Ovis aries: one gene and its partner. The protein of the gene in region 1 interacts with the protein of each later gene in a pairwise test. Links are inferred from orthologs where the notes say so. Each region holds a gene or a part of one and is shown in the gene's direction. Other genes may lie near its edges.

Evidence for each region. The genes of interacting proteins can lie anywhere in the genome.
Region 2: the proteins of PGBD1 (region 1) and ZNF24 interact in binary tests that used the Homo sapiens proteins (3 or more experiments, as listed by UniProt). The two-hybrid records come from large-scale screens. The link is inferred for Ovis aries from reciprocal best matches to the Homo sapiens genes PGBD1 and ZNF24.

The regions. Positions count from the first base shown.
Region 1 is NC_056073.1:29,476,305-29,480,614, reverse strand, and holds the start of PGBD1 (piggyBac transposable element-derived protein 1), read left to right. Parts: upstream 1-1,503; 5' UTR 1,504-1,602; intron 1,603-3,955; exon of another isoform or gene 3,956-4,310.
Region 2 is NC_056076.1:22,076,611-22,080,568, forward strand, and holds the start of ZNF24 (zinc finger protein 24), read left to right. Parts: upstream 1-1,158; 5' UTR 1,159-1,941; intron 1,942-3,127; 5' UTR 3,128-3,206; coding exon 3,207-3,626; intron 3,627-3,857; coding exon 3,858-3,958. UniProt on the Homo sapiens protein: Transcription factor required for myelination of differentiated oligodendrocytes. Required for the conversion of oligodendrocytes from the premyelinating to the myelinating state.

The DNA.
Region 1 (4,310 bases):
CACCACCCTACCCCCACCCCTACCCTTCGCATACTTTGCAGAAAATAATGCTTGATTATTCTCTCCCTTAGTAATAGACTGTAATTGAGGAGGACCCTATGGGATCTTCCTGGTACAAACACCTCCCTTCTATCCTCTGCTGTAGCTCCTCTCTGATGTACATAGATAATAATATCTGATGCACTCTCCTGAGTTGTTTTACAGATGCTAACATTACCACCAAATGGAAGAAATGAAATACTTGATGATCATGCCTCTAGACCTCCAGGCCCAAAGTACCAATAAGGTGACTCAGACTGCCTTATTTGCCTGGGTAAAGAATCTGCCTGCAATGCAGGAGGCCAGGTTTGGATCCCTGGATCGGGTAGATTCCCTGGAGAAGGGTATGGCTACCCACTCCAGTTATTCTTGCCTGGAAAATTTCATGGACAGAGGAGCCTGGCAGCCTACAGTCCATAGGGTTGCAAAGACTCAGACACAACTGAACAACTAATACTTCACTAAGTAGTAGTAATGTTAACCGCTGTTACCTCAACACCAACCAGTCAGAGAACTGTGCAAGAGCTGATCACGTTCCTGACAACCCCGCCTCCCTCACCTGACTTTTAGAAAATGCTTTGGTGAAACCCTTTGAGGAGTTGGGGTAGTTTTGAGGACACACCAAGAAGAGTTTGCCTTGGTTGGTCCTGCAATAAACCTCTCTGCTTTAAAACGCCCACATTTGGTTTCTTTGGCCTACTGCATCCAGCACACAACCTTGCATTTGGTAACATGCCTTAATTTTTTGTTACATTCATTCATACATACATATACATTCATTGTATATTTGCATATGTACATATATACATGTTCAACTTAAAAACACTTTTACATTTATTTTTGCCACTGTATTTGATAACTTTTTTAATTGGGGAGAATGGTAAAATATGTGTCCATGTCTTAATTATGTGAGTGAGCAAAGTGGAATACCGGCTGTGATAACACTAAAGTGAGCTGACCTGTTTCCGTGCCTGTGTATGTGTGCTCAGTCACGTCCAACTCTTGGCAACCCCATGGACTAAGGCCCACCAGGTTCCTCTCTCCATGGGATTTCCCAGGCAAGAATACTGGAGTGGGTTGCCATTTCCTACTCCAGAGGATCTTCCCAACCTAAGGATCAAACTTGTGTCTCTAAAGTCTCCTGCATTAGCAGGGTGATTACCGCTAAGGTTGGTAGTCCATGGGGTCGCAAAGAGTTGGACAGGACTAAGCGACTGAACTGAACTGAGGGAACCTGGAAAGCCCCAAAACACGCCAGCTTTCACGAATTTGCGTGTCATCTACATATATGAAATAAATTTCGGGTTATAAACTTAAGAAACCTAAAAACACACCTGGACGCCCCTCCCAGCTTTGGGGCACCCCTCCCAGCCTCTGGACTCCGAGACCGCTCAACCAACTACTAGCCTGAATTTGGCCGCCTCGTAGGAGAGCCATCGAGCCGCAGTCCTCCAGCATTCCTAGAGCGACGGTCAAAAGCGCCGCGGAGCGAGAGCGGCCGCTCAGTAAAGAGCTAACAAGCTGCTTGAAAGCTTTTGGCTTTTCCCGTGGGTCCTTGGAGGGGTGAGTGGTGATTGCGCTCCAGTTTGGGGAGTAACTGCGGCCCGTGGGCCGGGGAGCAGCTGATTCCTTGCGGGTGCGGAGAAGCCTTACCCAATGGAGGAGACGTGTGGACTCTGAGCGGGCGAGGACAGGAGATGTCAATCTTGGGGCCTAGGAGAGGAATGATGCTGTGGTTCTTGTTTATAGAGGCACAATCTTCTGCGTGTGTGTGTGTGTGTGTGTGTGTGTGTATATATATATATATATATATATATATATATATATATTTATCCATTGAGCTCAATTTTAAATATGTATAAGTTAAGCCTTAGAAGGTGACTTTGAGCAAAAGCCTGAGGGAGGTTTAAAAAACCTACGTGGCCTTTGCAGACACGAATTTTCTAGTAAGGGGCAACAGCAAATGCAAAGGCGCTAAAGCAGGAGCTCGCTTATCATACTCGACGAGTAGCTGGGAGCCCAGAGTGGTTGGAGCACAGTGAACAAGGGGAAGGTGTGTAGAAAATGCTGTCAGAGAGATGGGGGTGGGAGGAGGCCTGTAGAAAAAGTGGGTGTTGTGTAAGGAACTTGTTGATTTCTTGATGTGGAAAGAGTATTAGGAAGGTTTTGAGCAAAGGAAAAACATCTGACAGGTTTTTAAGCGTCTACAGCCGGGAACTCAAGATGAGACCAGACTGGAAGGCAAGAGTGGAATCGGGTGACTGGAGACAGGAAAAACGCTGGTTTCTCAGCTTTTAGGCTGTCAGGCAGGTGACTTCTCTTACTGGGGAAAGTCAGCCTTTTTGTTCTATTCTGGCTTTCACCCGATTGGATGAAGTCCACTCACATTAATAAAAGCCATCTGCTCTACTCAGTCCACTTATTTAAATGTTAATCTCATCCGAAAACACCCTCACAGAAACACCCACTGTAATGTTTGGCCAAATATCTGGGTACCCGGTGGTGCAGTCAAGTTGTCAAAGAAAATTCACCATCATAATACCTAACTATTTTCTGGCTAACAATCATTACTTTCATGGACATCTTTTCACTTTTTTTAAGAATATAGCTGACTCTTGAACAATACTGGTTAGCGGCCCATGGTGAAGTCGGAAATCCAAGTATAACTTTACAGTCAGCTCTCTCTACTCACAGGGCCACATAGCAGATTTGGCCTATTTGAAAAAAAAGAAATCCATGTATAAGTGGACCCATGTAGTTCACTCTCCTGTTGTTTAAGGGTCAGCTGCAGCAGGATTGGCGTTTTAGATTGTAAATCCTGTTTTGACAAATAAGTATCAGCTGGGAGTGATACTATGTAACAGCGAACTAAATTTGGAACCTAACTGGGCACAGCCACTAAGTGAGTGAGCCTTATACTATACTGATTCAGAAGTGTGTGCCAACAATTGGCAGATACTATTTCACTTATCTCTAGAGTCACTCAAGAGTCATCAGAATCAAGAGTCCCCACATACCAAGAGCCTGTTCAAAAGATTGATGGTATAATTCTCTGAGTTTTGTTGTGTGGTTTTTTTTAAGGTTGTGCTGGGTCTTCACTGCTGGGCATGGGGGGTTCCCTTCATTGCAGTGTATGGGCTTCTCATTGAGGTGGTTTCTCTTGTTATGGAGCACAGGCTCAAAGGCATATGGGCTTCAGTAGTGCAGCTTTTGGGCTCAGTAGTTGCCATTCCTGGGCCCCAGAGCATAGGCTTGGGACAGTTGTGGGACACAGGCTTAGTTGCTCTGAGGCGTGTGGGATCTTCCCAGACCAGGGATTGAATCCATGTCTCGTGCATTGGCAGGTGGATTCTTAACCACTGAGCCACCAGGAAGACTCTCTTAGTTCATTTTGACATGTTGCATTTGATAGGCTTTTGTAAGGTGCCCAGGAACCAGATAGCCAGAAGAAAAATCTTTCAGAGGTCTGGGCAGAAAAATAAGGAAATCATTGGCATAAAGATGGTACATAACATACCTGTCCTCTATGCTACCCTCTCCTAGCTTAGGTCCTATATTTCTTTTTCCTTTCAATGTCCTGTTTTTTGAAAGACTAATTTTTGCTTACTTGTGTCATTTTTCTCATTTTCCTGTGACTGGGTGACTGTTCTCCCTATCCAATGACCAGAATTGCCTTTACAGCGGTTGCAGTGACCTCTGTTTGTTTTTTTTTTAAAATAATATTTATTTAAATAAATTCATTTGGCTCTGCTGGGTCTTAGTTGTGACATGCTGGATCTTCTAGATGTGGCATGTGGGATCTAGTTGTCTGACCAGGGATTGAACTCAGGACCCCTGCATTTATTGCAAAGAGTCTTGGCTGCTGGACTGTCAGGGAAGTCACTGACTTTTTTTTGTTTTTGTTTGTGTTTTTTAGAAATACTAATATAGTTATGGGCTCCCCTGATGATTCGGCAGTAAAGAATTCACCTGCAGTGCAGGAGATGCAAGAGACACGGGTTTGATTCCTGGGTCAGGAAGATCCTCTGGAGGGAGGACATGGCAGCCCGCTCCAGTATTCTTGCCTGGAAAATCCTATGGACAGAGAAGCCTGGTGATCTACCAGTCCATAGGGTTGCAAAAAGTCAGATGCTACTGAGCACGATATAGTTATGGACAAGGAGACATGAAAAGTTTTGGGGGTTTTCTGTTTGTTTTGGTTTTAATTTTTGGCTGTGGATGGGTCTTCATTGCTGTGTGCAAGGCTTTCTCTAGTTGCAGTGAGTGAGGAC
Region 2 (3,958 bases), on another chromosome or scaffold:
ACTATGTGGAGATACTGTGGTGAATAAGGCAGGCACAGTCTCTGCCTCTATGGGTCTTATGGACAAAAGCAAAACAAACAAACAAAAAAATAGAGAAGTGAATAAATGAGATCGCTTCTACCCAGTGCTATGAGAGAGGGGAGGCTTCCAGGAGGAAAGGTGGTCAGGAAGGCTGAGGATCCAGACCACAATGAGCCTATAGAGCTGGAGAGTGGGGGTGGGGGCAGGGAACAGACTAGTGGGGCCTTACAGGAAAATGTAAGGAATTTTTATGTCATAATTAAGACAGTAGGGGAAGATTCCCCTGAAGGAGGAAATGGCAACCCACTCCAGTATTTTACCTGAAAAATCCCAAGGACAGAGCAGCTTGGCCGGATACAGTCCATAGGGTGGCAAACACAATGAGCAACTGAGCACAAGCAGGAGTAAGGCAGTTAGGGATCCATTAAACGTCTTTACATAGGGGAATTAAGTTGTCTGATTTCTGTTTTTAAACGATCACTTTGGCAGCTGCTTTGTAATATAAACTGTCAAGCCTCAAGTCAGAAAATGACCACGCATTCTGCAAATTCAGTGTGAGCTCACTGCCAAAGCTCTTGGTTAAGAGTCTCATCTTGTTTCCCTGACAAGTAAACTGGTCATAATAAAGTTGTATGGCATAGCAAGTAGGAGGCAAAGGTGAGAGTCATGCCTTGGTTTCAAATCTTGTTTCCCACTCACCAGTTATGAGCACTCCGCAAGCTATTTACTTGTGCCTCAGTGATCTCAGCTGTGAAATGGGAATAACAAAAGTACTTACTATCTCAGCGTTGTTGTGAAAATGAAATTACATGTAAAGCACGGTGACAGTGCCTGGTACAAAGTAATTAACATTCATAAATATTCATAATACTTCTTTCAGAGAACTACTGTGACGATCACATGAGATAATGCATGTGAAAAGGCTTATGAAACCGTAAAGACTGTCTTAGTGGCAGAATTCTTTCTTTTCCTTGTCTTTCAAGCGGAACCCAGAAGGCTGCGATACCGGGGGAGGAAGGCGCGAGGCCAAGCGCAGCCTCAAAGCAGTCATTGTCGTTGGACAGCCCTTCCCCCGGCCCAGAGCACATCTCCATGGCAACGTGGGGCTTCGCCTCCCCCCCGCCTCCTGGGGCCCACAGACCGGAAGCAGTCCGCGCCGGGGGCTGCTGGGAAACGGCTCGTGAGCGGCGTTTCTGCGTCGGCCGAGGACAGCGAAGCGGCTGTGGTTCCCGAGCCCGAGGTTTGCGCGAGTTGGGGGGAAGGGTGTGAGAGACGCTGGCCTGGGGGCTGCAGACTGCTTGACAAGAGTCAGCGAAGAAGCCTGGCGGGAACCTTCCTCGGCTTCTCCCAGAGGCGTGGGGGACAGGCCGCGGTCTCCGTGCCCGGCACTTGTGGGACGGGCAAGGGAAGACGAAAAGCCAGATCGGGCTTTCAGCACCCTCGAAGAGTCCTCCATCCCTTGTGTCCTTCGCGACCCCCGACTTCCCCTCCCCCATCGGCCGGTTTTGTTCTATTTCGAGGCCCTGGCATCTCGCGGAGAATTCTGGGATTCTTCTCGGGCGGAGGTGGGAGTGGGCGGGCCTCGCGCGGGGCCTGCTGGGACTTGTAGTTCAGCTGGCCGCGGGCGGAAGTGCCGCGGCTCGTTTGCTGTTGTGGCCGGGTGGCATTCGGTCTGAGGAAAGCCGCCGCCGCGAGTGCAGGGAAAAGGGGCTGACGTCGTTGGGGTGGGGGCGCGGTTCGAAGCGGCACTCTGCAGGAGTGCGTGGGGAGGTCACTTGGGACCGGGCTCTCCGCCCAAAGACGGTCGGGACCGCGGACCTGCGCTCCCCGCAACTCCTCACATCCCACCGCCAGAGTGCTGTTTGAGAACGTAAAAGGAAGAGAAATGTCTTTTCTGTAGAGTGCTTGAGCCGTAGAAAGGTAGGGTCTTGGAATAGAAACAGATCTGTAGGCCAAAGCTACGTGTTTATAAGGCCGCCACACTCCAGAGTATTTAATTAAACTTGTGTGTATGTTACCTGATAAGATCTTTTCTGATTCCTAGTTTTGGTAGGGTTACAGGAAGTTTTTGGAAATTAGCTTTCGTATTCTGGGGCGTATATGGGTACATTGAGCAGCTGCGTGGCTCATTCTTAACGGGTGTTGTAGACAATGGCATGGGCATGACTGTGCAAATACCAAGGAAAGGATCAGAAATAGCACAAGGTTTCCATGAACGTAGTAGCTGGGGAGATTGTGAGTCATTCAGTGTCAGCGGAAGAATCTGCACCACAAAGGTGTTACGAGAGTTCTTTTTTCCCCCTAGAATTTGCTGATTAATGCCTGTCGTTCCTAATTTAAAGGTATTTATGGTGTGGAGGGTAACTGAAAAATAATTAAATTTTATGGCACATAGTGGTTCCTTTTTTCCAACATTATTATCTATTCCTGACCAAGTGAATTTTTTTAACGTGTATTTAAAGTCCTAGGAGTTCTTAAACATTTAAAAAATAACTGTTAAACGTTTTGTGAAAAAAAGTTTTTTTTAACAGATAGTAAAAAAGCAGTCCCTGCTTTTGAGATGACCTAAGTGTGTCAAGGAACACCAGTATTGAATTGTAGATAATGTGTTCAAGGGTCAGATGCATTTAGATAACACTGAGAAGGGCTGGTTCTTAACTTGGATTCTTTTGATTGTTGAAATAGGTTTTGTTCATAGGTTGGCAAACTTTATCTCTAGAGGACCAGGGTAAATATTAGGTTTCTCATGCCCTATAGTGCCTATTGCAACTACTCAACTCTGCTATTGTAGTGTGAACAAATGAGTAAAATTATTTATGGAGACAGACGATTTAATTTCATGTCATTTTCACATGTAATGGAGTGTTCTTTTGATTTTTTTCCAACCATGTACAAGTGTGAAAACTATTCTTAGTATACGCATTGTACAAAAATGGGCAGCTGGCCAGATTTGGTCATGAGCTGTAGTTTGCAAACTTCTAGTTCAGGTTATTGATTGGCATTTTTAATCTAGTAAAAGAACACATTTTTATTTCCTTTAATCAGTCTGTGTCCAGGTTCTTAGAATATTTAGTCATTTATAAATTTTTCATTTCTTGTGCCTCAGGAGTGCCTGTGAAGAAAACTGGGTATTTCCCTAAGGTATCTTGCCTTGATTGTCTTTCCTTGAAGTATCACAAATCAGGATGTCTGCACAGTCAGTGGAAGAGGATTCAATACTTATCATCCCAACTCCAGATGAAGAGGAAAAAATTCTAAGAGTGAAGTTGGAGGAGGATCCTGATGGTGAAGAGGGGTCGAGTATCCCCTGGAACCATCTTCCTGACCCGGAGGTTTTCCGCCAGAGGTTCAGGCAGTTTGGATACCAGGATTCACCTGGGCCCCGGGAAGCTGTGAGCCAGCTTCGAGAACTTTGCCGTCTGTGGCTCAGGCCAGAGACACACACAAAAGAACAAATCTTGGAGCTGGTTGTACTGGAGCAGTTTGTTGCCATCCTCCCCAAGGAGCTACAGACTTGGGTTCGAGAGCATCATCCAGAGAATGGAGAGGAGGCAGTGACGGTCCTGGAGGATTTAGAGAGTGAACTAGATGACCCTGGACAGCCAGTAAGTTTCCTGTTAGGAGTACTGGCGTAGCAGTATTCACAGCTTCTGAATTAGTTCCACTCAACTAAGTTAGAATTATGTTTATGCTTCCCCTCCCCCCCCTTCATTATTTATGCTGCTTTGCCCTCTAGGCCTCTGCAGCATATGTTTTGTATGATTTCTTTGGTGTGTGTTTTAGTTTTGATTCTCATCAAATTCCTTCTCAACTGAACCAATTCCTATCATTTCCAGGTTTCTCTTCGTCGACGAAAACGGGAAGTGTTAGTGGAGGAGATAGTATCTCAAGAAGAAGCTCAGGGATTACCGAGTTCTGAGCTTGATGCTGTGGAAAA